Linked DNA regions of Styela clava. The protein of the gene in region 1 purifies or fractionates together with the protein of each later gene. This does not show direct contact. Links are inferred from orthologs where the notes say so. Each region holds a gene or a part of one and is shown on either strand. Other genes may lie near its edges.

Region 1 (7,106 bases):
ATAATACCCTCCTAGTTACTTATTCCACCTTTGAGTGCTGAGAATTTTAAAACAATTACCGGTAATCCTTTAAATTGATAAAAGGCAATTTTTAAATTACTGATTATCGAAAATTTGTAACAACGACACATAGTCCCACTTCATGCACAACCAGGGGAGTAACCAGAAATTTTCAAAGGGGGGTTAAAGGGGGCTGAAATTTTTATTTGCCAAGTTAGACCGAAACAGCTAGCGGGTCCGATCGAACGCTGGAATACGCGTATTTTTATTAGTCTTGGGGTCTAAAAAGCATTTTATGATACGAATAGTTGCTATCTATGATACAGAAAAATGATATTTTTTTTTACATTTCAAAGGGGGTGGGAGGGGGTTCAACCCGCAGAACCACCCCCCCTGGCTACGCCACTGTGTACAACAATTAAAATTAATTTGCAGACAGAAGCTCATACCTGTGTTTTGGTATGATTATATCAACGATCTCAGGATAATCGACCTGGAATAATAAACTTTGTTGTCCAGTATCGGGCACTCTTTGCTTTGTCACTGAAAAAAAAAAGAATGCAACATTAATTAAATAATAATCAAGTAGTTGAAGTTGAGTTATTGATGAAGAATGTTACTTACTGTGTGTGAACACTCAGCGAACAATCTGAGTGATAGATCACGTATTTCCCCTAAATATGTGTCTGAAAGACCCATCAGTGTAAAACAGTCAATACAACTACGTTAGATTAGTATTACAAGTATTTAACATTCTATTCGATTCGGAAAAAATATTCGATGCAATTCTGAAACCATCGTATATTCAAAAATGTCTTAATTGTACGTCAATTGAGGAGAGGAACTTTCCTCCAGATTACCCCCGTTCTTGATCATTAAACTATTCAGATTTCTTTATTAATTAATTACCTTTATACCCAGGCCGTCCGATTTTAACAAACTTTTTGACTTCAATGGTGGGTTTGGCTGGAGCAGGTTGAGCTGGGGCTTCCTTTGCATCCCTTGCTGCTCTTTTTGCCAGATTTGCTTGATGTTTTTTACCTTGAGTATGTGCAAGATAACTTCCCTGGAAAGAGGAAATTTTCAAAATTGAGGCAGGTAATGAGATGTGCAGAATTATGGCAACACAATATGTAGCAGTAATTACAAATGAAAGTTTGCTGAGCAATGATTTCCTTGTTTATTTCCGTAACAATGATCATTTAGCAAAACGTCAACGATGACGTAACAATTGTAGTTTTTGCAGCCACTCAGGCACTTTGTTTGCCCAAACAGATACTCAGGCATGGTTTTAAACATTGCCTCGCTTTCGCGGCACTCAAGTTTTTTGTCAGGTTTTAGTTGTGTTTCCAAAAATTAGTTATAAATAAAGTACAGTATTTGCTCGTTTTGTAGCCCGGGCCCACATTTTTTTCAACCAACTCACTAACCGGGCCCCTATTCAAACCGGCCCCTATTCAAGCACGGGCGCTTGTTATTTTTGATCGTTACAATAATTAATATATTGTTATTTCCATTTCTCAAGTATGATTTGAACGAGAATAACGAGAATTTTGACTTTTTCTACGCACCGCAGGTACAAATCCACAAAAGAGGAAGTTTTGCGACACAGGCACTTAAAATTCAACAGCGTTGTGACAAAAGCGCTTCTATTTCCTATTGTTCTCTACCACTGAAAAATCAGCTTTTACATCGAGCGGGTATTCAAGCACCAGCCCTTATTTATTTTTATGTTCTGTTCACACGGGCAGCTATTCATACGGGCCCTTATTCAAGATCGGGCGGTAAAACAAGCATATACGGTATATTTCATTTGTCAATGTTTTTCGTTGAGCTTTAGTTTAGTCACAATAATCAAATATCAGTGCCAAGGTAAGCTGCTATAGACTAGGCTAAAACTAGCTGCAAGTATCTGTAAGCGTATTGTTGTAGGCTGTATTATGATAAAAATGATGGGTTTGAAAATGTTTATAAACGTCGACTCTCCAAAACACTTGATAAATAAGCATCCCAAATTTTGAAATATCAAAGTGTAGAGAGAATTATTCTTGAATCGAGAGTCGAGAAAACATTTATTGCCTTGAGACCTGAAGGGCTGGGAGATATCAGAAAACAACAACGTGGTGTTACACATAGTTACCGTAATTCAGCTCATTTGTACAAAGCCCCCAGCAACGCTCAAAATAAAAAGGATTAATTATCCAGTTCAAGTGAGGGCTAGGAATGCAGATGGCACTGGAAATTCAAATAATCTTTCCTAACCTCAACCCTCAATTGGATAATCACTATTCGTTATTTAGAAATACTGAAATATGACAGAGGTGTTTTCTAAAATGTCATATTTTTGCATTATTGGCGAGCGCTTTGTACGAAAGATCTGGTGATTGTGCAAAACTGGAATAACAAAATCAATCATATGTAATATATCACTCACCTCATTGTTGTGCAGTGTTAAACAAAGTTTACATTCGTACGAGCCAAGATGATTTTTCATAAAATATGGATCCTGAAAAACAAAATACCTTTGGTATAGCAGCACTTTCAAAATTGACTCCTTACTGCCTTGATAGAAAGATAAGACCATGTTGTTTGTAAAACAATAGTGCATTAATGGAGTAATAAATTACTGAATTATCTTCATTGTTTTAGTTATTAGGCATTATGTTTATTTATCTCAAAAGTCAGAATATGCAAAAGTACGGGATATATATTACCTATATAGATAATCATAGACACATAAACTCGACAGGGTTTCAATACTCAAAAACGAAATGAAACAATAAGAAATTTACCTTATTCAAGTCAATCGTTTCCAAGGCCAACTGTCTCAACCTTTCTCTGCGATCTCTATTTGCATCAGAGAACGAGGCCACACCACCTCCACCTGTCTTACCACCGGCTCTGTGTTGAAAGTCCATTATCTTTTATTTCACCGTGTATTTTCTGTATTCTGAATACGAAACACCAAAGACAGATTCACGGTACGGTGAGGCAGAACACAAACGAGAGCGCCGACGATAGACCCGATGGCGGCATGGAACGTAAACATGATGAAATTGAATCGAAAACGACGCTTGCCAGATTTAGGAGATAGATGAAAAGATTTTTGTGGCATATGACTTTTCACAAATATTTGTAAGACTTGGGAAAAAGTTTTTTTCTAATTAAAAATTCTTGATAATTTAATCATTTGCTGCAATCTGTGTGTTCTTGTGTTTCAGCGTCCATGCATTTAGAACGAATACCTGATTTACTATTCCCATATTCGACATAACTTTGTTATACGATAAATACCATTGATTGCAATAAAGGGTGAAATTTAATTTAATATTTGTCCAGGAGAAGACGAAAGCCGATAGGACAACAATCCCCAATCTAATCACTTTTCTACAAACATAGGATTCAACCACACTGGAAATAATACATCAAAGGTGATTAGATTATTTTATTCATAAATTAGACTGTAGTAGTATATATTTCCGATTAGACGTACCGGCTTATAAGGCGCACGATCAATTTTTTTTTGTTGAGAAAAGGAATTTAAGTTGAAGTGCGCCTTGTGGTCCGCAAAACACGACAATCAAAATAGTCTAAGGAGAAAAGAACCTGCTCATCAAGCGACTCGCTCTCTAAAACCTCTTTAGAAACAAGACGGAAATTTAAATATCTATTTATAATTTACAAGTTATTAACGTTCAAGCATAATTTGGTTATTTTGGCAAGAATCTACTATAAACTTAACATACTGATTACTGACTATATCTTTCTCGCGTAGCTAACAGTATAAATTTACAATGATCATTTTCCTTTCTACTCCCAGAAGCAGGAATTACTTTGAAAGTAGAGTCATAAAAGACCATTCAACCCCAATTTGCTGTTACTGATAGTTGGTTTATTTGCAACGATTCATAAATATAAAAACGGGCTCTCTCTGATATGGAAACCACTAACAACAGATGGCCGTTGAGTATCACGAGTATCACGGCTTCGCACGAATCCTCTGGATTCCACCACTGATTATATGTGCTAAGAAAATGTAATAGCATCAAATGCTGATAACCCTACAAAGCACCTACTTTAACGTTTGAGTGGTGAGTGGACATTCGATATTGATGTTGGAGGCGTCGGATCGGATGAAATGATTTTAAATAGAACTGGTCGAAGGCGACAGAGGAACCCGATACCCTAATCCATGATTTGTGCATGGCCGGTTGTGGAACATTCAATCTATTTAACGAGCTTGTTTTTTGGTAACAATTTTTTGTCACTGTGTTTTTTTTGCAATGAAATTGAACTACAGCATCACCATTTTACGTCAACGAGTGTTTTTTATTCCATATTTTTGTGAGAAAAGCACTGTTGTACTTAGCACTTAGGTGTCGCTGCCTGAAGACCTCTTGAGGTCCCTCGCGACTCCTGTCACACAATTTAAGTTAGTTTCCACTTGTATTTGTAATTATTTTTTTATATATCATACCATGTTTAAATTGTGTTGACGAATAAATGATGATTGATTGATTGATTGTTGTGTCTCACATTTTAAAATTGATTTAAAAGGTATTGCCCGATTTTACATCGTGATTTTGTTTTATTGTGGTTTTTTTGACTGTTTTTGGTGGACGGGCACGTACTTGTACGTTTTTAACTTTTTTATTAAGTTATACCCGTCCTCCAAGTTCTCTGCATTTTGTTTGTCCGTTTGTTGTTGTTTTGTTTCTTTCAGAGTGACCGAAATAAAATTGATTGATTGCGGTTTGCCTGTATCTGATAACTGATTTTCTGACTGTCTTTCGTTGGTCGGACAAAAAAGTTACAAAACTACGGCCCACGGCGCGGCGGTGTGGCTCAACGGGCTAAGCGTTAGGAATACGCTCGCCACCGCACCTCTAATTACTCTGCGTGGGTTCGCAGGTTCAAATCCCCTGCAGGGATGGTTATGTGCGAGAGGATTGCTGGACTCCTCGCCGTCGTTGGGTGGTTCACGTAACCGCTGGTCGGTTACGGCTTCCTCCACCACCAAGTCCATGCTTCCGAAAACAAACAATACAGTAAAACTAATCCCATACCCGACTTGGAATGGTAACCGGACGAGAGGCCGTGGTTCGCCATATGGATAAGCCGTCTTATCGGCTTTCCTCTCCCCCCGGGATAAATATGTAAATCCTATCCTATCCTATCCTAAAAATTTCTGAAATACACTACCCTGAACCACCTTGTTTCCGAAAATAAAGTTTCAAATTGTTTCTACCTTATTTTGAGATTTATTTCACGATAAGCATGTAAAACGTGTAATAAATATTGAATATTTTTCACGAATTAACCAAAAATTAAATCATAGATTAAAAAAACGGAGTCACAGGGGTAAAGCGCATAGCGCGCAAGTTCATTAAAAATAATCACTTTAAAAATGCTCCAATTAAATTACTTTTTTGATTACAGGCCAATGATAAAAAAAACTATACGACACTTCGATCTATGTTTCAACAGAGCGGATATAGCTCTTATCTATGTTGACTTTATTTTCACCGTCGCCGTACATGTTAATCTGGATTGGATTAGCAGGGTTTAAAAATAAGCTTCCTTGACGTGTCTCCTGAACTGGGGCCGCAGCTGGAAGGGCTGCCGGTAATTGGCCAACCCCACCCAGTTGCAGCACCACTTGGGTCACTCCTGCTGGTATTTGAATGCTGTGAATACCGGTATTTGAGGCTGTGAAAATAATAACAAGTGGTAAATTCTGAGAAGCCGTAGTTTTTTTCAGCTATGAATTTCCTGAATTTCTATCCTGTGTGTTATCTTTTTGTTGTGTCGAGCGGATATCAGAATAAATTCACCTATCCATGGCATAGTATTCATTCAGATGCAGTATAAGTTTATTTCGACTCCATAATCAGCATAACAATAAAATGATTGAAACAAATGATTAAAAATGGATTATGAAATCCGCAAATAAAACCTTAGATAAGGTTTAAAACGTACAGAATATAAGATGAAAGGTTTTGCCAAGAAGAAGTGGTACGTGTTCACTTACCTGATCTTAGTTTTATTACATTGTTGCATTTGGTGGCGTAAATTATTAAAATGAACCGTAACATATGAATAATATACTTGAAAATGGAGCGTCACTTTGCATAAACCAAATAGCTAACATAAAAAATTGCAGAACAAAATTTGTTGACTTACCTGGACCAAATGGTGTTGCCAAATTCGCCGCTGGTTCAGATTCAGAAATCGTTTCAGTCACAGATAATGATCTTCCAAACAAAGCGGGATTTGTTTGAGATTTGCCCTTTCCTGTGAAAGGATTCATAATAACAATAATAATAATAAAAAGAGAGCAATGCTCAAATATATGGGCTTATTTCAACATAAGCCCTCCCCTTAAAATACCACCTAGTCAATAGAGCAATTTTTTTTTGTTCCGTTATTCATAAGTTTAAGGATATCGGTTTTCTTATTTTGTATATTTGAAAATTTCGTACTTCTTCACTTTGTAATTTTGTTTTTGATAAATGAAAAAAAGACATCCTCCCAAAATAAACCCTAGTGTTATTATTCAAAGATAATTGAAATAATTTGTCATATTGACGGGGAAACACGTTAGAAACAGCGAAATTTAGGAACCAAAAAAATAAAAATATTAGCAATCACAACAACAACAATTATTTGTCAGGAAGAGCGATTTGTTTTCAATAACAACAACACTAATAACCTCAACAACAATTTAACAAAATGAATCCATAAATATACTTTCTCCATAAAAATATTGCTACCATACCTGACTCTCCTCCGTTTATATTCGACAAATCTCCTGCATCAGATCCAAACTTGAAACGAACCTGAAAATTCAAATTTCAATTCGGAGCAAAGAATTTTCGTCAAGCATGAAATATTGACCAAATAAACAGAAAAAATAAATTAATTGGGAGAAAAAATAACAGACATACAATATTTGGTGCTCCCGAAGTATGCGAACCAAGATGGCGGACATCGGAACGTAAACATGGGTAACAGGTTAGGGTTAGACGATAATTTTTTTTCAATTTTCCTTATTTTAGTCCTATTATCAGTTCGAAGACTAGCCAAGAGCCTCCCGTAGTATTTAT
Region 2 (7,693 bases), on another chromosome or scaffold:
AATCTCTGATCCTTCAGCAAGTGATTTTTGTTGTTCCCACATACTACCACCACCATAACAGGCTGTTGATCTTACTCCATAAATCTTAAAAGAAATGGAGGAATGAACAGTCTAAATGACGAGTAGTGTAGAAGGATAAAATACAAATAATTTTAGGCACTCCAGAAGTGCAATATGGAGGTAACTAATTTTGTTCGCCTACTTTACATCAAGTTGTGTAAAGAGATGAAAGCCTATGGGCAGGGGATATATACACTTGGCTAACACAGACAGTACCCGAACTCGTAATAGAACTAAAATAAGGAAAATCAGAATAAAATTATGGCCTAACCTGGTACACACACTACGGAAGTACCTAATTTTATTGTAAGTTTTCATTTCAGATATACAAAAATATGGTATCTCATTACTTTCAGATAACTCTAGTACCAAACCCATGTTGTTTTGGAACTAACAAAGATATCAAGCAACAACAATAAATAATAAACAAGAGAGCGATGAGCGATGCAAATATATGAACAAGAAGGCAACAAACCCCATCAGTAATATAAATACCGTACCTTGCCAAATCTTTTTACTTCAGCATGTATCTGTTGACAAAGTTCTCTTGTTGGTGCCACAATAAGTGCAATTGGTCCATCACCTTCTTCAAGTACAGGTTGATCCAGTACATGAGACAACATGGGCCAAACAAAAGCCGCTGTTTTACCAGAACCAGTTTTGGCAATACCAATTACATCCCTGCCTGACAATGCACTTGGTGTGCCTTGAGCTTGAATTGGCGTGGGGGAGGTATATTCCATTTTCCTTCGAAAGAATATTATATCATTTATCGAATAATTACTTATCGATTTAAATCGGTAAGTATGTTGATAGGTATTTGTCTGTCTGTATGTCTGTTAGATACACGCCATATCTCACGAAAGCGAGATTGAGTCTGCTCTAGATTTTGCATGTGAATTCATCTTATCTCGGACCAGAAGCCTATTGATTTAGGGCAAATTATGTCGAATAATTAGCGAGTTATTAATTAATTAGTGATGGGACACAAGGTGTCACTATGGAGTAAGAGCGCTGTTTTGGGGGATCCCCTAACTTTCGATCGATAAGTCTTCGGTCTCTGACCGATATTCTCGTTCTAATTTTAGCATAAATTCGTAACATAGTGATCACACCGGAGCATATTTGGGTAGCAAAGTTTAAGGTTTGCCGTTTCCCTTCAAATCAAGCATTTTTTAATCTGCATTTACACTATGTATTTATGGTAATGCTCAAGCTAAAAGAAGAAAGATTAGCATATACATTTCTAACTATCCTAGAAAATGCAAACTCACCTTATAACTTTCATCAGTTTTTCATCAAATCCGAAATGAGCAAAACTTGTTACAGGCTTTGGTGGAAAGAAACCGGAAACTTGGATCCCAAGTTTCCCTCGTAACATGGAAACTTCTGAATCTGTAAGTCTTTTAATATCATCATGCTCAACATAAAAGTTTTTCTCAAAAGTTTTATACTCAATTTCAGAGTGATAAATCATTGGTAATGGATCAATCATCTTTCTATCTTTCTGTGTTCCAGGAATTGGATTTCCATCTTCATCATATTCAACTGGATCATCAGCATCCAGAAACATTTTCCCTGCGGAAGAAAAATGTGACAGGTTTGTAAAACGAACAATATTACATCATTCCACTGCCTCATTTTCATACTTGATCAATTTCACATAATAGAGATGATCTCATAAAGATTATGTTTAAAGAATATCATATAAACTGTTACTCAAATATGATCTCTTTTTTCTACTAACACAAAAAGAATATCCAATAAATTTTCAAAGATAATTTAGCATCTACCTGCATCAGGATTTTCTTCAATATATTTATAATAGGATTCTTCATCATCCATTGTCTCTAAATCATCTCTGACACCTTTGATTGTATCTCGCTTTTGTACGGAATCCTTTTTGTCCTGCTTTTTGACCTTAAAAATAACAAACGGCTCAGCCATTAAGGTTGAAGTTATGAATACACCAATAACTAGATTTAAACTTGAGCATGGTCTCTTCAAGATAGTAACATTAACATATCATCATTGCAAAATGAAAAGAAAAAATAACCTCATTTTCAATGTTAGCCATGAATGCATCAAGAGGATCTTCTTCTTCACTTTCTTCTTCTTCTTGTTTTTTGATCATGTCCTTATGGCAAACATTAAAATTCATTAATACATATACTACGACTAGAGTGCTATTTATATAACCTTTTCATTCCATTTTTGCAAAGTTATTTTTATAATAAAACAGGACATTTTTATACTTTTACTTATTACTTTTTATACTGCAATTATGCAGCAGTGGCAGTGTAATGTTTATTTTTTTCATATGATATATACATGACACACATTTGACCACTTCTTCATCATTTTTTTCAAGACTTGCGCTTGACATGTAGCCTAACTTTAACTCAAAACAGCGCTGTAATATCAGAATATGTAGGGTTGGGTCCACCAAGTTTACCTGCTTCTCTTCTTCTGATAAAAATGGACATCCAGCCAAAATATCACGTTGCTTTTGTCTATTATCTTGCTGCTCATCGTCATCATTGAAGTATTCATCTTCACCCTCCTAAAAATTCAATGTTGTTTAAATCTGACTTTATACCAAATATAAAACTGTTTTTGAAACAGTTTGCCCTAGAGTGCCATATACATAGAACTAGGCTAGCCTACTTATATTACAATATTAATCTTACTCACACTCAATCTCCGCTTGGATCCGATTTTGTATGACGTGTTTCCTCTAGACGAGCCAGTCATATCAAAACCTTGAAACCCATACTTTTTATTTCCTCCACTCATTCTCTTGGCACCTTTGACACAAAAATTAGACAATGGAGCAACGCCTGGCTAGGACACTGCCTTGCGATAATCCGCAGAATTTTCCAACCAAGTCTGTGTGTTAATCGATGATGCTGGTGCTATGGTTTACTTATAATTTACATTGCTCTGCAGCGCAACTGCGCGGTTATGTTCGGGTGACCAGGCGTTCCTCCCACAGAGATATATAAAGTGTGCTTCTCTCTCATTTTAGCGGGACCAATAGAAGCCTCCCTCGTTTAGGCGATAGACTTCCAACTTTTGCGTAGCGCGTAATGCATTTCTTAGGAAATTTGACAGAAATCATAATTTGCTTTGATTTTTCTCACCTATTCGCCTGATCTTGGATTGTTTATTATTATTAAATATGAGACGCTAATAGATCACAGTTCAGTGGTTTCTCCGGGTGAATGGACTTTTCCCCGACCTTTGACTTCCCAAAATTCTTCCCACACTCTTCCTATATACCAGCGTTCCCCAAACTGTGTTCCGCGGAACACTAGTGTTCCGCGAGCAACTTCGAAGTGTTCGGTGGAAAAGGAATCAAAAATACGTCTCAAATGGTCGCTATGGAGATTTGTCGATTCCCAAATTAGGGGCCGCGCATCGAATTTTAGGGGCCGCAAAAAGAACACCAACTTTACAAAACATCAAAAATGCATCTTTCGAACTGTTTAGCATTGTTAACGTGGACAAGGTCCGCGAAAAAAAATTATATATCCAAAAGGGGCCGCGAGTTTGGGGAGCCCTGATCTTTGAAACGTGAAGTTGTCGCCCAACTGACCGTTCAATATCGCGTCACCGTCGCCCTAACTGGGAAAGGGTAGTGGCGTTTTCGATAAGTCATATAAATTACGTACGTACAAAAATACGTCGGCCTAGCTTTTAGACTGTTATTCATTCATAAGTTCATTATCAAGTTTACAACAATCTTTTTGGTTTTTCTATAGGCAAACGTGTAGGTCTAAAGAATAAAGGCAAAAGGGTCAACTCTTCTTCCTCCGTATCAGCCTGGTTTTACTTTAAAATGCTGAAAAAATCACTCATTTTCGCTAAACTCTATTAAGTTGATAAATAAACTGCGGCGAAATTGCAGCAAGTACTTATACTCCCATTAGACGTAACATTAGAGGCAAACACTACGTAATGAAAAGTAAATGACATAAATGGTAAAGTGAATTTATTGATTCATATTAAATTAAGAAAACTTTTATAACATTGGCAACATGTAAAATATTCAAGCATATTTTAAGTATGTTTAACACAATTCTGTTAGTTTTCCCCGCGCATTTGACAACTTTTACTTTATCAATTTTACTCTTTTATTTTTTTGGTGTTCCGCGAGGCGAGATAAAACGTGGAAGTGTTCCGTGGCCGAAAAAGTTTGGGAAACGCTGCTATATACCATTGCGAAAATTCCGGGGCTTATTTTAAGAGTAGTTTCGCGAGTTGGCGAGCACCGGTAAAGAATATCAGCCTAGTCTATCACAGCTATTTCTACACCAATTTTTGATTACTGCAATTAAATTGAAACTTTTAAGAAGACAAAATGATCATTGAATTATCTGATTTATATTTAAATTTTCAAAACACAACTGAACACTAACGAATAGAATTCAAAAACGTTTAAACGAGGTAATGTTTGTATCTTGCTGATTGGCCAATGGCGACTTCGTTAATTGCGCCTTCTTTTATTCAATTACATTTACGTACAATAATGAATAGATACGTTAACTCACTAACGCTACTGCAAGAGTTGCAAAGCACTTCTAGAAAACACTCTCAGCTCAAGAATTTCGTTGTCAAGCGGAAATCGCTACAAAGAATGGATCAAAGTCATTTTACGAGAACAAGATCTAGAAGCTAGGTAGGCTGACCTTAAAAGATTAGGTCATAGTAGTAGCGTCATGACTAGACCCAAGTTTTTTGCGATATCAAGTTAACATGTCATTGTGTAGTTATAGAATTTTAAGTTGTTTGAAGAAGAGAATTGTTAGATTATGTAACATGGGTAATAGTTTTCTGCAATCTTTTCTCTAGCCCAGTGCTCCGCAACCTTTTTTTTAACTTGCGGCACACTTATAAATCTTGCCAAATTTGACGGTACACCACAACAAACGAAAAAAACAAAGTGTAACTTTGTTTTTAGGTTCATATTTCAATGAGAGATTTGTGGTTGTTTTAATGAGCACAATACATAAAAGAGCAACTCGAAGTTCGCCGTCAACATCCTTTATACAGTATCGTTTATCGTTTTTGATCAGTAATAAAGAGGAAAAGCTTTGTTCGCACACATAAGTTGTGCAAAACTGGAGCAATATTTCAATAGCTGCATTGGAAATGTGCTTATATTCTTCTTTTATTGAAATCCAAGACACATCAAGTGGAATTTCGCTGAAATTCAGTCTTAGCGTTCTGTAATTTCTTACTTCAAAGAAATTTTCTCGAATACGCAGGGGTAATTCTTTCGTTAAGCTCAAGTTTTATTCATATTCGATTACTACACGACTACACGTGCTATGTTTTAGCCTCGACAATAGGCTTTACCAAAGCGTGTATATAATATGGGCTTCACAATATATCTGCTTGACATATAGGCCTATTCCTTTTTACGTCACAAATGCACAGTGGGGGGAGTAAGGAATTTGAATTGGTGTCGCTCAAGCTAACGTAAAAGCAGGTTAACTTTACGTTAGTAGAGTAGTAGACTAACGTAAAATTAACAAAGGATAAAAAAAAATTGTAAAAAGAAGAGAAAAGTGGCAATTCCTGTGCGGCACACCTGGCATCGTCTCGCGGCAAACCGGTGCGCCGCGGCACACCGGTTGCGGAGCACTGCTCTAGCCCAGTGTTTCCCAACCCGAGTCCGCGGCCTCAAATGAGTCCGCAATGAGCCAGAAATTCACAGGGGCCGCACTCAAATATTAGAATAGCAATTTACTATTCGAAAATTTGGTAATACGTGACGCGACAGTTCACTTGCGCGTCGCTTGCGGAAACGAAAACGTCGATAGATACCTAAGTGGTGTTTCTCGCGAGTTCGAACAACGAGGAATAAATATTTTTTCTGTTAGGTGTAAATGGTGACAACCGAAATTTTCTAAATTGAAAAGCGGCGATGCAAAATACTAAAAATAAAATGGAGAACACGATAAGTTTTGTTTTATGATGGTCCTCGACCGATTAAAATGCTTTTTTACGCATTGCAAATCGCAAAATTTCTGGTGCTACCGTAGTTTACGTACCAGGGCATTTTCCCGTAGGATTCTTTTCTTTACTCCACATCGGTACGTATAGTACTGGAGCGCCGTAAGTGTTGTACAAACAGCTCAGATTTGTCGAATTTACGAAAATACGAATCAAAACTAAATATAATTCGGCACTTTACCACACATTTTTGTGTGCACGGATTGTCATGATATTTTCTCATTAGTATTGCTAAAAGGATCACAAATATGGATGGATTGAATATTTTATCCAACAGAAAAAATTATAGAAAAGTCGGCTCTTTAACGAGTGACGTATACCCGACGATTACTTCAGAAGTTGTTCCGCGAGAATTTCAAGGCGATAAATATTTAGGTTTGATTTACTAATATACTAAATATAAATCTATTTTTAATAAGTACTAAATTAAGTTGTCCATTCTGGAAATTTATAGCAGATAGTAGGATTTTTCTAACGGCGATAACAAAATCGCAAGATCGCAGAAAATATGTATCAAAACTGAATATAATCGGGCAATATATTCTCACATTATTATGTTCGCAGATCATCTTGTCGTAAGTCGAGTAGTCGACCGCATCTGCGAGTTACTATGGACGCAATTGAATTAAAATAGAAAGTTATTTTAAATTCTCGTCGTTGTCATGGATTGAATATTGTGTCACAGAAAAGTTCATTACACACTAAAAAAGTGGGCTTTTTAACGAACGCGTAATTGCGGCAAATTTCCGATTTTGAAATTCGTTAAATTTCTGTTGTGTTTGGTTTTATCGCTTCTTCACAAAGAGTACGGTTGCAATAAACGCACCTTGAGTCCGCAAAGGTTTTCGCGGGTGAGAAAATGGTTGGGAAATGCTGTCTTAGCCTGTTGAAAACAGAGTTATCTTCTAAAATTTAGATGTACATGCTGTTTGTGGGTTAGCCAAATTCTGCAGGTACTTGAAAAACGATAGCGTAAAGCGTTATGTGATATTTTGCGGGTAATTCTAAAATCATTGCATGTTGGACGATCTCCTAAAAACTGCTTTTCAAAATTGCAAAAACCTCATATTATTTTATATTAAATTATTCTAATTTTCGTGGGGGATTACGTGCTGACATCTTTAGGAGCATATTGCCATAGTACAGCTACAGCGAAATGTGGAAGAAATAAGAATCCCTTTAGACTTCAACCGAAGAGACATTTCTAACACGCTGTTATATTAGTAGAATTTAAATATTCTTCCTCTCAAATATTTTAATCGAATGACAGTTGTACACAAAAGGTTGAGCCTTGTAGACTTAAGCTATTGAAAATTGTGTTGAAGTCCACTGAATAGGAGAAATAGCCTACTCAAGATTACAATCTGATACTCGACCAAAATAATCACAAATTGCGAATTTACCATAATTCTTTATTTCAATAGATATCAAGAAACCACATCATTTTTTTCCCTCAAATTCGAATTGCGTCTCATAAGTTTTCGCTTATTCATTGCGTCATTGTTGATCTTATTAGTGATGTGTCTTTCTGATCCGGTGATAGCAACTGGATCTAGCGTAAGAGATTTTCTCATAGCTTCTGTAATGTCATGACGAATAATAGAACCCAGGG
Region 3 (6,648 bases), on another chromosome or scaffold:
CTGAAATAAAGCCGTTAAAAAATTTATAATTACAAACTATGGCAAAAATGAAATGCAGAAATATTTTTGAATCGTTTTTTTGCATTTATTGGATATTGTTAAAATATAATATAATCTACCTCTCGATCATTGTATTCAACAAACTGGAGACTGGAGCTTCTTCCAGCGATTTAAAAAAAATGTAATAACGATAAATAAATATAAACTTCGATTTTATTCATAATTATAACTGACGTGTTCTAAAGTATGTCTGACAAAAAAAGGAAACTGCCATACTTGTAAATAGTTGCAACTTGATATCGAAAGAACATCGCTCCCATTGAGTTCCACATAATCCTATAATTATCAACAAGTTAAATTAAAAAGATGATAATTATCAATTTAGTAGACTTACTCATAATTTAAAAAACGACATAGGTAAAAAGTATCAGATATACGTTTTTTCATAAGATCATGGTGTAGAATTTGTTGAAAAAACACGATAGAAATTCGGTTCCCAAATCAGTAACAAAAATTTCTTGTGAAGATTTAAATTACCATGATATTGTATGATATATGCGTTATGAAGATTTCAAGTTTAACCAATATTTCCCAGGACACCTTCTTCAACGTTATTTTCAACTTGTTCTATCATCCAGTTCATTCTTTTAGCTACTGCCATTGCAATCTAGTAAATATATTTTTGACAATATGAGTAGCGTATAAGAATTACATAAAACAATTTTTGCACAGCTCACCTGAATCTCTGTAGTTTTCTCTTCCTCAATATTGGCAGTTTTGACCCATAGATATAAAATTGTAACGGTAAACTTAAATTGATGGATATTGTGACTACCTAACTGAATTTACTGCTATAGCCTACTAGTCAGCATGATATTTTTGGTGAGTGTACGAATAAAGTGCCAAACCCAATATATCGATGGATGAAATTCATCTCCAACATTAAATTCCACTCTGATGTAAAAGGAAGTGGTGTGTTTCCTGGCGAACGGAAAATGAACTCGGCTGAAACGAAGAAGAAATATGTGATTTTCATTAACTGTGGGCCGACACGCCTCAAAAACCTTGTCGAACAATTCTTAAGTGCACTGGAGTTTGAAGAGAATTTTTAACTACTCTATGTTAATATATATATCGATATTCTAGCTATACCTTACCCTATTCCAATCTAAAAATAAACCTGGACTCCCCTCGGCCTGAAATTATAAAGTATTAAGGCAATGAAGGCATGAACTAAAATATATATAACTATGATAATAGAACTTTTTACATGAAAAATAATTAGTCCGAAGGGAGGTAATAGAGCCAGCATGTAGTCGGCGATTCACTTCCATCTTAATCCTGTAAATTAAAGCGTAAGTATTCTGTAATAACAGATATAATATATAACGGTCAATATTAATTTGAAATCTTTATCAATAATAATCTTACCAATGATCTAATTTTAGCTATTCTATATCCATCTGAAAAAAGAGAATTGAGTTTTATTGAGATGTTATTGCACGCAGTGCATTCGAGTAACAAAACAATAGTTAACATAAACTCACTCTTTTCATGTAATCGAGACTATTTCGTTCCCTCAATATTTTTTCGAAAGGATGTGGAGCAGTTGGTTCTCGACTGAGATTCTGAAGAGGAGTGATAAATAATACAGCAAGAAGTGCTTGAGCGTGTCGTGAAAAAAGGAGAGAGCATAAAGTATATTATAAGACCGCTCGAGACGTCTACGATTTTCATTGCTAGTAATAATTCGAAACTACAACAAAATGCGCTGAAATTAATTGGTATTCACAACTATCTTGAATTGTTGTACCCATGTCCTATACTCAAGTACAAGAAGATGCGGAACATAAATTCGTGTTTTATCCTCGTTTTGTGAATTCTAACAATATATTTAGGAAAATCTTCAATGATTTTCGAAAACCGCTAAAACAATTCTAATTATTTATTTTAGTCGGGAAAACTTTCAAGTCACAAGTTATAAGTTACCTCGTTCAAAATCGACGGTGATAATTGATACCACAAAGATGTTGCTTCCTCCCTTTTTTTGCAATGTCCAAAACAACATGCGTCTTGAACTAGTCTGACAGGCAGGCTACAGGCGGAACGACTTTCTGCAACATCAGGTGCCTGTGGCGTCAATTGATAAAAAAAAATATAGGTATGTTCCATGTTGTCTGATCAACTCCACCGGCATTAACCTTCTTCCTGCCGTCTTCCCTGGGCCAATTTGCATGAGTTATTTTTTAAATATTTTATTTGTCAACCATCAAGCCCTAAAGCTTCACTCGTGGCTTTTTAAAAGCGTGTGCTAGAGTTCTATTTAGCAATATATCTTTAAAACACACTCCTCTGATAATATTTTATTTTCTCTGCGATAAAATTTCACGCGTGACTCGCATGTCACCATTTAAAAGCCGTAAGATGCGACTGATGGTCAAGTGGCAAGCTGCGTAGCAACCCACTTCAATACTGTCAGAGCAACAACTAATAATTTTGCAGTTTGTAAATTTGTGATAATATATATATATAATTTATACAAGGAAACTAACAAACCGAAGTTTGTATAGTGAGCTAAATTAACTAGAACTGGTTTATAATCTGATATTTCGACCGCGAATTTAGTGAAACGTTTTTTTGAATATCTTGACTGATGTGGTATTTACTGTAATATGTAACGCATTTTAAAATGTTAGATAAAATAGTGTTGAACGGAAAATTAGTACATGCTTTTCACAGCCGATGTGGCAAAATCGCCACCTTGTTCCAAATTACTAAAGTAACCGATGTGTTGTCACTTTTAGTTAAATGTAGCTTTCGGTAGATCAATCCATAATTTTTTATGAGGAGTTCATCACACTTTCACTTCAAACAAGGCTATTCACACGCAGCCACTTGTGCGCAAGAAGCTACTATTGTAGGGAGGGCCGTTTCCTTCCTGTTTTGGCTTTCCCTCCTTCGTTTTTCATAGCCGGAACAATGTGATGACTGATGACCATTGGTTTTGGTCGGAGATATTGACCCTGCGATGCCAATATAGTTAAGTTCTATATGTGCAACGCTTTACTCACTATTTCATATTTCTTCAAAGTTGAATGAATGAAGGAGTTGACCCATTTCCATCATTCAAGACTACAAAAAAAGCAGTAACTTTTTTACACCCTGGATGATTTGAGCGTAAATATGGTTTGAGTGATTATCACTAGAACTCAAGATTTGTAATCAGGGAATATAATATTTGTTTGTTTATTACAACTCACATTCAACACGCAAAAACTTGGGATTTTTAGGATTTTGGGGATTGGGATTGCCAGTAAATAGAAATACCGTATAAATATAAAATCCAAAATCGAGACTTTTGGAGAATGTCCCAACCATTGAGGTGTACACTACAGTATTTATACACCTCAGTGGTCCCAATCGATCCTTGTGATTGGCTTGTCACGTGACGTGACTGCGCACCAGATTTGTTGTTTGACGTTTTGGCGATGTTTCAACTCAATCCTTCAGTCCCTTCCCTAGGTCTGTAGGTTCGTTCGTTGGCGTTTTGAAAGATCATTTTCCAGTTTTAACGCGAGCGTCTAAATTTATAATGTTGCCGGTACTCAATCAATGTACAGGTGCCGCGTATCGGGGTACGTATGACGGTATGGCAGTATCTGAGTATGGACAATCACTATCAGACTATGGTAAACCCTGAATAGGATAGGATAGTATTTACATATTTATCCCAGGGGAGAGGAAAGCCGATAAGACGGCTTATCCATATGGCAAACCACGGCCTCTCGTCCGGTTACAATTCCTAGTCGGTATCAGGGTATGGGATTAGTTATATTGTTTGTTTTCGGAAGCATGGACTTGGTGGTGGAGGAAGCCGAACGGTAACCGACCAGCGGTTACGTGAACCACCCAACGACGGCAAGGAGTCCAGCAATCCTCTCGCACATAACCATCCCTGCATGGGATTCGAACCTGCGAACCCACGCAGAGTAATTAGAGGTGCGGTGGCGAGCGTATTTCTAACACTTAGCCCGTTGAGCCACACCGCCACGCCGCGCTGAATCCACAAGATTCAGAGATTTGGGATACCGGTACCTTCATACCGGTATTCCATTTTTTTATTTCTGCTTGACCTTATACTGTTACGGTACCTAACAGACTTCTAGGCTAGTAGTAGGTGTGGCATAACAATTTTTTGATAAATGTATTGAATGGTATCTAAAGTCAAAGTCAGTTGCATGCGGGCGCAGTTGTTTCGCACGCCCGCAAGGGAATTCTGATTTGCATGCAGGAATTTCTGATTGCACGCCCGATTTCTCATTCAAAAAGGCCATGAAATCCAGACTAGCCACCCTCGAAACCTTAATAATAAACTAGTGTACGGTAGGCCATAGAACAACAGGTGTCATAAACCTGTACACATTATATTAATTAAATTTTCATCAGGTTTAGTACGGTATAATTTAAACTGCTATATATCTCAATTTCCCCACTACATTATCATTAATTTAGTGTTCACTTGTAATATTTGGTATATCTGTATAAAGCCCAGTCCTGTACCTGTAGTCTAACAAATAAAATGAATTTAAATAATTGTACTGATTTCAGGATTTATACAATTCAAGTTTGAAATATAGGAATGAGGTTCTTCGTATATGTACCGGATTGCAGAATTAATAAATGAATAATTTTACCATTTTGCAAATACAACAGTTTTGAAAACCTTTAGATCTTTTAAACCTTTGAATTTTTATTAAAACAAAAAATCATGTCTGCCGAATTGGAAGCAAATTTGACAAACTATAAAGTGCAATTAGCGCAAGTCGAGGCAGCTCTATCAGCAGATCCTGAAAATGAAGAACTTAAAAAATTGAAGCAAGATCTTGAAGAAGTTATTCAACTAACTAAAGATTTAATGGGAGTAGAAGCTGCAAAACCTTCAACGAAAGCAAAAACAACAACTGGAAAAACCGCCGAAGAAATAGCAGAAGAGACTGTTCAGCCTGACAGTGGTCCTCGTCATATGTGGAAAGTAGGTGACCCATGTTATGCAATATGGAGTGGAGATGGGAAATATCACAAAGGAGTACTCGAAGAAATTTTACCTGAAAGTGCAACAGTTGCAGTTCGATTTGATGAATTTGAGCAGCCAGATGTTTGTCAATTAACGCAGTTAAAACTGCTTGCCGATGGTGACAAGGCTGGTTTTAAATCAAAAGCCAGTAAACGGGAATTAATGATTCAACAACGTGAATATCGTAAAAAGAAAAATCAAAGAAAGAAAATGAGAGCAAAAGAGAAAGAAGCTGAATCTGAAATTTCGAAACATAAATGGAAAGAATTTAATAAAAAAATCACACATAAGTCTATGAAAGGTGCCGTCAAGAAAAGTATATTTGCATCACCTGAAGGTCTTGTTGGAAGAGTGGGAATTGGTACTTGCGGAACTGCAGATAAAGATATGACAAAATATGATGAGGGTGCTAAATATAACGCACGGCATCTTGTGCCAAAATCATGAAAGGGTGTTATAGAACTTCACACCTATATCATTTAAGTAAGATGGCATGTCTTTCAGGGATAGTATCAAGCGACATATGACAAAGTTCATAATCTTGTTACCAAAAGCATTCTTTCTGGCATTTGGATAATATGAACTGGATGAGGAAATTTATTATTTTTGGCTTGTTTTAGATTATGTGTATATTTTTGATAGGAAATGGCATGGTATTAATGTGTCCATGGATATTATGATGAAGTCCCAGTCATTTGTTTAGAGAAATGATATTTTTCATGCCTTCAATCTATTTATATGCTTGATGAATGAAACAGAATAATCGAAATAAAATATGACTGGAATTTAGATTAGATGTTTCGAATCTTGTCTACTATTTTGCTGTTTAAGTTGGATAACAGTTAAACTTTTTCTCCAGTGAAAATTAATCAAGAATGACTGGCTGTCAAAATCTCTAGAGAAATAGTAACGTCATGAGGGGAATCTTTATTATTTCTCGAGTTACAATGATGTAAATTGTACCAATGTACTTCTACTATTTTTTTTCAATCCAACTGGATGTGAATTTACTTCTGTGAAATATTCAAGCTTGTTTTTATATTACTTTATTCTTTTCTCTATAGATCAGCATAATTACTAACACTAAATTAAAATATTATTTGTCACGGAATGAAGAGACGACATACTATATTACGTGGCTCTCCTGGAAACAGCAAGAAGTCCAAAACATTCATACCTTGGAGTAATGGAAAACTAGATTCAGAAGCTAATATAACTGATGCAATGAGTGCAATTGAGCACATTAGAAATATATTTCCACAAGAACAACTGCAGAACCGGTTTCCGCCTATTGTTTTTAAACATCAATTGTATGCTTTATTGGAAAATAGAACGACAGTTGATCAGCAAGTAAATGATCTTTTTGAATGTGGACGAATAAAAATATTTCATTTGGAACATAGAAATGAGGAGCATATGATTGTATTAACAAAAGATTTTATTGCTCACGTCAATCGATATCACAATATTTCATCTAGGGAAGGACGGGGTGAACGTAAAGATGATAAGAAGTTAACTAGCAGGGAGCAAATCATATCTCGATTTTTGATCGAGGTTATTGGAAGTATATCAGA
Region 4 (7,667 bases), about 17 Mb from region 1:
AACTCTCTTACCACAACTAAATCTATCTACTAAATTAGAATTGAGTAAATTAACTGAATATAAATTTCCCAATGCATTAGTCAGCTTCTTTGTACTTTGTACTAACATTTCTTTACAAGTCTACTGAATTGTAACAAATATTGCCGTTGTTTATCCAAAATAAATTAGCAAACAGTCCAGAACTATAACAAAGGACCAACAAGCTTATTGCTCACTGAAATTGAGTCCTTGGTGCAAGTGTTGATAATGGGTTGCAAAACAACATCGAAATCAGAAGTTATAATTCCTGTACTCGAAGCGAGATTTCTTAATTTTTCTTCTTCGGTCTGAGCTATTGCAGCATCAATTTTTTCTTGTTGTTGGTGCATCAAAACCTGAATTAAAAATTTATTATAAAGAATACAAATACAAAAATTTGAAAAAAGCCATTTACAGGCCTGCGATAAAGAAAAATTGTGCGCATCTTGAATGCAATTAACAAAATTCCAGGGTAACCTGAAAAAACAGAACCCGGGAAATTCGAAACATATTGTGGAGAGAACATAACTGGTGCAAACTGTCCTAGAATACTGAAACTTGTAGGTATAATCATACACAAACAGGAGTTCAAGTGTTTAGGTATTAAATAAATTTATGAGTTCTATTCATTTTGCGTCATCCTGTATATAGTTAATAGTACAGATGTGCATCATGACCTCATATTGTTGTTTTAAGTTACTGCTGCTTTTCTCAATTTTTATTTTGGCTTCGTTTTCAGCTTGAACAATTTGATATTCTTCATTTTCTTGGCCTTCTTCGTCTTTGCCTTGACTCAAGTCTGATGCTTTTTTGTCTTCAGGTTCCTGAACAAAATGAACTACATCAAACAATATAATTTATTCAACAGCTGCTTGCCCAACGCCCTGTTTAGAGTAGAACATAGTTTGATAACATGACAGAATACTATGTGAACATATCAAATTTTCAATTTGTACATCTATATCAGTGGTTCTTTAGTGTTTTTTTTTACTCCAACAGCGTAACACCATTGAAGCCCCCTTTTGGGGTGGGCAACAAAGGCACAAGCAACGTGCTATGGGACTATTTTATAATGTGGCACTACATCCATTTCTAGATCTTCGTGCAAAGTTTCAACATATTAAATATATGTCCTAACAACGTAATAATTGTGTGCAGAAGCACGAAAGAATTTGCATCGTCTACTGTCAAAGCTGAAAGGTTTTAATTATTACACTCTCGTTTCATTTTAGTTGGGCAGTAGCGGACGAGGGCTATCTCTAAAGACAAGGACTGGTAGCGCTATGAACCCGTTTAGCGAATACATACAGTATTAAATATAAAGAGAAAGTGTTGCTGCCATATATTAGCAAACTCAAAAACTAATTGTTGCAATAATTCAAAGCTGCTCGCGTACCATTTTAAAAGCTCCCCCATACCACATTGAGAACCACTGATATATATATGAACTAAAATGAAATGACAAATTTCAAACCTGATTTTGACTTGGTAAAGTTTGAGACTGCTCTGGTGGTAACTGACTAAACCTTGATGTCCTGGGTGGCATGTTCTGTGGTGGTTGTCGATACGGCATATTGAAATTTTGTGGTGGTGGTTGTCCACCCATTTGCTGATTAGGAGGCATCGGCATGTCTAAAAACAGTTTTCATTAAAAAAAAAATTTTGTCACTTCGACTTCAAATTTTGATGAATCAAAGTGTCACTAACTTGGTACTGTCTGGTTATTACCGGGGCCTGGGAACGGAGGTGGCGGCTGATGCATGTTTGGTCCTGAATTCGGTGGCATGAATCTTTGGGACTGTGGCTGCCATGGCGGAGCATTCGACATTGGCTATAATATAATAAGAAGATCAGTATATAAAATGAGATTACAAAAAGAAATAGATATAAAACCACATACAAGACTAACACTGTGTATTAGCCATCATCCATCTACCAAAAATACAAAAAACAGAACACCTGACATACCATTCTCATATTAGGGGGAAACCTTGGGAATTGTGGCATCAGAGGTGGAATTGCTTGTTGCTGACTTTGCTGTTGTTGAGGATTTCGTTGCCAAGGTGCATTCTGCAATGAATGTTGTACCATTGCTTCTTGTGCAACTACTTGCGCATTCAATTTTGCTTTTTGCTGATTTTGAACTGAAAATGCAATAAAAAAGAATACAGCGAAAAATTAACATGATGAGAGAGTATAAATACAAACTTCAAAATTTGCAACAGGTTTAATGTAAACAGGATATAATATAAAAACATGAGATTTTAAAAGTCATGACTCATGAGTAACTTTGGACAATCAGACTGATGTAAAAACTCTGCAATATGATCAGTGGTGTAATCTAGATTGAATACCATAATTAAGAAAGAAAAACTTTCTAATAGACCGTTGCGTCTTTGAACAGCACCCTTACAGGCAAAAGATGTAAAACGAATATTCGAAACTTATACTGGATTTCATTTGAACAAACACAAAATTAAATTTCCCAAAAATATAAAAAATAATTTCCTTACTTTGTTGTTCTGTTGATAGTTTGTATTGGTAGTAATTATAATGTTCCCCGCCAAATAAAAATGAAAATTTTGGGTTCCCTTTTTGTTTTTCTTTCGTCATCTTCTCAAATTCTGCTCCATTTCTTGCAACAAAGTTTGCCAATTTGTCAATGATATTTTTCACCTCAGGTTCTTTTGAAAAGATGTTTTTAAAAAAAAAAAAGTTTATTCTGAATAAGTCTGATTTTGGATATTTTAGCAGTTTTATTAGGTAACAACATTTATATAAAGTAAATGAACCCAAAACATGATTTCACAATTTTATTCTCAAAGCCAATAAAATTTGAGTTGAAATTTTCAAAATAAGAGATAAATTCATCTTACCCACTGGTGGTTGTAGAACATCCATATTATAGATTGGAAAATGCAGGCAATATATTGCTAAATCTTACAGGCTCTATGTAGCTATATTTGAAGATAAGTACACGAATATTTATACAAGATATTAAACCCTTTTTCAAGCATACAAATAAAAATAAACAATGAAAATAAACAATTCTTTCCTTATATCAAATCTAAACAGCCATATCATACTTTTTATTTTTTAAAATTAAAGTTTGCTGTAAATGAATATTCATGAAATTTCTACTACAAGGATTTTCTATTTCAGTTATGCATCCAATAACATTGTGATTAATATAAGGTATATTTACGATTTTCTACATATTTTATTGAAATATACCAATATGTTTATTTTTCTCAATTTGAATCACCATTTACAAATAATACAACTTGCAATTCAGTCGAAATTTATTATTAGCTAACGTAGGAATGTGTTGGAAAATTGTCTCTGATATGCTGTACTTAATTCTATTATTAATTTAAAAGCAAATATGCAAAACCCTTTTTTCGATGACATAAATATATATCAATTTCTACGACTGCTCCTATATTTATTCACATTGACAGTTTAGACTAAATTGTCTGGCGATAGGAGAAAAATAAATTCTCCATAGCATACTTAACAAAACAGAAAAAACAGAAGCACTAAATGAATTCTTCCCCATGCAGTATTGTCAAAAATTTATTTTACATAGTGCCCAACAAAGCATAAAAACGGCATTGTTATAAAGATCACCTCAATCAAAAATGCCAACTTACAAACTTTTGCATTGTTTCATAAGGAGACCGCATAATGGCTCCTCCTCAGAATGCTAAAGTAGTCAAGGAGACACAATAAAATTATATTATTTTGTGGATGAGCTGTTTTACAATATGAATGTTTCCACAGCATTGTATATAATTTTAAGTGGGTGCACCAAGCATATTTTGGCCTAGCTAAATGACAATGTAATATTGGATATAAATCTGTGTTAGTCAATGTCGTCAATCAAGCGACAGACTTTGTGAAAATATAATACAATCAAAGGTATCAACCACAATATATCAACAATCTGTGAGGTATAAAAATGAAAATGCATCTACATGTGTCGATATGTTTGAAATGAAAGCGTTTCTTAAAACCAAAACATGTATTATTCACAACCTCTACTAGTCCCAGTAATAGCCTTGTATGCACTTTTTAATCTAACAAAAGTTTAATCTAACAAAGGGTTAATGGATGAGAGCCATGGTTCAAAACAAAAATAGTAAAAAAGTCAATGTTAAGTGAAATATCAGAAACAATTCATATTTTCAAAGTTCAAAATACTGCAATATTGCAAATGCGTAAGTGCAAAAGCAAAATAATCATAAATGGAATCAAAATTATTTCCAAAAATATCATCTTTTTTCACTTATAAAGACTTCATTTGCAGGATAAAAACACCAATTAATCTTTCAATTTCTGTCTTCTGACTTTTGGGAGATGCATTTGGGTTTTTCTGCAGATATGATACAACTCCTGCCAAAAATTCAGCTCTGAATTGTTCAATCTTGCGTTTTCCTGAAACTCTCTGGTACAGTTCATTACCAATTCGTGCTGCAGTAATCCACTGGTATATTGTACTTGAGGCAGACGAAGATTCATTAGACTGTAAATACTTCAACAATGCCATTTGTTGCAATAATTCAGCATTGCTCTCCAAAGCTTTATCTTGTTCACCAATGCCAAGCAAAAAAGCCATTTTGCGTTTGTACAGTTGTAGTCCAGGTATACAGGTATATAAATTACAAGAACAAATTGCCTGGATGTGTAGTAATTGATAGACCATTATTAATTAATGAAAAGAAAAAAATACAAAGAACATTATGCCATTGAAAATGTACCGTACGGCACCGTAGTGATGTACGGTACACCGAAGTTGGGTCTCATGCAGTTTCGTACATACTTCTAGTGAGCGTAGCATGACGTAGTCAAGAGGCCGTAGTCAGATGGGGGTTAGGATTGAGTTGACATATCATATTGTTATGCTACACCCACTAGAAGTACGGTATGTTAGGTAAGGAGACCCCCAAACCCAAAGTTGCCCTAGCGGACATATCTCTCTCTCGTTTTCGGAACGGTAAAATAGCGTTGCCAGAAAACAATTTAACATGGCGAAAAAGGGGAATCTAGTCGCAAAGCACTTGCCAGATTTACGGCGAAATTTTGCTACACTCGGAATTGCACAAAACTCATCTGTAATTTCCGATGGTCGGGCAGATTTTTGAAGGTGATATAAGAATGAACTTAAAATGAAGTCATCCTAATCCAAGTTTTATAAAATTTGTATGTTGGGAACATATAATAATACATTGTCAAACATGGCCGAACAGGAATTTCACATCAAAATTAATAAATATCTGCATTTTAACCCTAAATTCTATACTTTTTAATTAGGTGCCCCACTTTTAGATAAGACATTTCAAAAAAACATATTGTGAAGTCATTTCAAACCAAGTTTGAGAAAATTTGTATGTCGGGAACATATATTAATATCTTGTCAAACATGGCTCAATCAGGAATTTTACATCAAATGTAATAAATATCACTAGAAGTATGTTAGGTACGAAACTACATGAGACCCAACTTTGGTGTACATCACTACGGGGCCGTACATTTTCAATGGCATAATGTTCTTTGTATTTTTTTCTTTTCATTAAAAAATAATGGTCTATCAATTACTACACATCCAGGCAATTTTGTTCTTGTAATTTATATACTTGTATACCTAGACTACAACTGTACAAAAGTAAAATGGCTTTATTGCTTGGCATTGGTGAACAACAACAGTATCTTGTCAAACATGGCGAAACCATGAATTTTACATCGAAATTAATAAATATTAGTATTTCAACCCAAAAGTTTGTACTTTTTGATTATGTGCCCCACTTTTAGATAAGATATCCCAAAAGAACATATTGTGAAGTAACCTCGAACCAAGTTTGAGAAAAATCGTATGTCGGGAACATATATTAATATCTTGTCAAACATGGCTCAAACAGGAATTTTACTTCAAATGTAATAAATATCAGTATTTCAACCCCAAATTCTGTACTTTTCAATCACGTGCCCCACTTTTAAATAAAATATCCCAAATAAACATATATATTGTTAAGTAACCTCGAACCGTGTTTAAGAAAAATTGTATGTCGGGAACATATATATAATAATATATATCTTGTCACACATGACCCAAACAAGAATCCGACTTAAAATTAATAAACAACGCTATCACAACCCACATACTGTATAGATTATAATGGCGTGCCTCAATTTAAGTAAGATAACATAAACGAATTGTGAAATCATCTCATTCTTCCCTACCGGGGATCTATCTTATATTTTAAAAAATTTCCTAAAATGGTTGGTTGGTCTTACTAGAAAGCCACCACACCACGTCAAGGTGCCAACCATCGTGGCGGTTTTCATCTCAGTATTGTAGACTAGACCAAGAGAGAAAAACCTGGCAAAGGGCATGTTAAGCCAAATAGGTAAAACAGACTGATCCTTCGTCTGACTTGAACGATGTACCTCAAAAAAATGAGAATGTAAATCATCATATCTAGTTGAATATTGTTTTGCGTGTAATTTAGCATCGGATGCACTTTTTGCAATTCCATTCTATTTCGCTGTTTTCCAGTGCCTAAACTGGGACTGGAACACTACAACATTTCGGATGGTACCATTTCAAACATGAAGTGCATTCGATCATGGTCTGATTTTCAATGTAAGACAGTTGACAGTTGCGAAGTATCGGAATTTCCAATCGCCTGGACGCGGGTATAACACGTTTCTTGTTGATGTTAAATACCGACGAAAAATTTTCAGAGACCATACCATCAATCAATCAATCATCATTTATTCGTCAACACAATTTAAACATGGTATGATATATGAAAAAATATTACAAATACAAGTGGAAACTAACTTAAATTTTGTGACAGGAGTCGCGAGGGACCTCAAGAGGTCTTCAGGCAGCGACACCTAAAACGCTTGTTGATTCAGGTTAATAGCTTAAAAAGTTAATGAAACACCATCGCATATTTTCTTCCTACGATTTTTCTCGTCAAATAGTATATGCTCTGGTCGTATTTTGTTACATAGGGCTATGCAAAAACTAATCGAGAATGGGCCACACGATGCACATAAAGTTTGTTGCTTGACAGCGGGGAATTCAATTGGTACTTTATTTGTTCCTTGCCTTGGCCGCGTAAGAAGCGAAATCGCATATTCGTCATTTTCATTGTACTTCATATTTGAGCTATCATAAATCTGTATGGTATTTTGGTCAGGGGTGAATATATTTGATGCTGTTACCCAGTGATTCTCGTGCACAAACAAATTTTTGAAAAGGAATATACACTTTAGGGCCAGATAGCGCTGTATAACAAGTCTACTTCAGAATACCGAGATGACAAAATTAGTTGTGCCGTGTTCATAATATCCGAAGTGAACCAGTCTCTTCTGAAAATAGTTTTGGAATTCATTATTTTATAATCGACATCAGTTAAATGTACAAATTTTTGGAATGGAATTTTCGGTGAGACAAACCGCAACATCATAGATTGTGTAGTAGACGCTTCGTCAGCTGTTATCAGAATGGAGCTATCGTTATTAGAAAGTTCTTGAGGGCAAAACATCTTTAGAGGTCTAATGGGGGCTGGAGATATACTCATTTACATTTGTCTTTACCCTGAATTCGGGATCGTTTACTCCATTTCTCGATTTCCTGG

The links.
Region 2: the proteins of splicing factor 3A subunit 2-like (region 1) and ATP-dependent RNA helicase DDX42-like purify together in Homo sapiens (affinity purification with mass spectrometry; 3 studies listed by BioGRID and IntAct, with this or other methods). This does not show direct contact. The link is inferred for Styela clava from reciprocal best matches to the Homo sapiens genes SF3A2 and DDX42.
Region 3: the proteins of splicing factor 3A subunit 2-like (region 1) and survival of motor neuron-related-splicing factor 30-like purify together in Homo sapiens (affinity purification with mass spectrometry; 4 studies listed by BioGRID and IntAct, with this or other methods). This does not show direct contact. The link is inferred for Styela clava from reciprocal best matches to the Homo sapiens genes SF3A2 and SMNDC1.
Region 4: the proteins of splicing factor 3A subunit 2-like (region 1) and calcium homeostasis endoplasmic reticulum protein-like purify together in Homo sapiens (affinity purification with mass spectrometry; 3 studies listed by BioGRID, with this or other methods). This does not show direct contact. The link is inferred for Styela clava from reciprocal best matches to the Homo sapiens genes SF3A2 and CHERP.

The regions. Positions count from the first base shown.
Region 1 is NC_135250.1:29,566,769-29,573,874, forward strand, and holds the start of splicing factor 3A subunit 2-like, read right to left. Parts: upstream 3,024-7,106; 5' UTR 2,919-3,023; coding exon 2,793-2,918; intron 2,507-2,792; coding exon 2,435-2,506; intron 1,067-2,434; coding exon 910-1,066; intron 544-909; coding exon 450-543; intron 1-449. Other genes in the region: uncharacterized protein LOC120334753, read right to left, coding at 5,474-5,709, 6,184-6,294, 6,779-6,839. UniProt on the Homo sapiens protein: Component of the 17S U2 SnRNP complex of the spliceosome, a large ribonucleoprotein complex that removes introns from transcribed pre-mRNAs.
Region 2 is NC_135253.1:14,088,532-14,096,224, forward strand, and holds the start of ATP-dependent RNA helicase DDX42-like, read right to left. Parts: upstream 3,017-7,693; 5' UTR 2,857-3,016; coding exon 2,755-2,856; intron 2,624-2,754; coding exon 2,516-2,623; intron 2,198-2,515; coding exon 2,117-2,197; intron 1,981-2,116; coding exon 1,854-1,980; intron 1,639-1,853; coding exon 1,335-1,638; intron 808-1,334; coding exon 561-807; intron 85-560; coding exon 1-84. Other genes in the region: polycystin family receptor for egg jelly-like, read right to left, coding at 7,509-7,693. UniProt on the Homo sapiens protein: ATP-dependent RNA helicase that binds to partially double-stranded RNAs (dsRNAs) in order to unwind RNA secondary structures. Unwinding is promoted in the presence of single-strand binding proteins.
Region 3 is NC_135260.1:11,001,078-11,007,725, reverse strand, and holds survival of motor neuron-related-splicing factor 30-like, read left to right. Parts: upstream 1-4,684; 5' UTR 4,685-4,768; coding exon 4,769-5,521; 3' UTR 5,522-6,139; downstream 6,140-6,648. Other genes in the region: winged helix repair factor 1-like, read left to right, coding at 6,185-6,648. UniProt on the Homo sapiens protein: Involved in spliceosome assembly.
Region 4 is NC_135250.1:12,309,926-12,317,592, forward strand, and holds the start of calcium homeostasis endoplasmic reticulum protein-like, read right to left. Parts: upstream 3,026-7,667; 5' UTR 2,920-3,025; coding exon 2,895-2,919; intron 2,703-2,894; coding exon 2,532-2,702; intron 2,163-2,531; coding exon 1,987-2,162; intron 1,850-1,986; coding exon 1,726-1,849; intron 1,651-1,725; coding exon 1,493-1,650; intron 843-1,492; coding exon 696-842; intron 375-695; coding exon 216-374; intron 1-215. Other genes in the region: uncharacterized protein LOC144419834, read right to left, coding at 4,307-4,636. UniProt on the Homo sapiens protein: Involved in calcium homeostasis, growth and proliferation.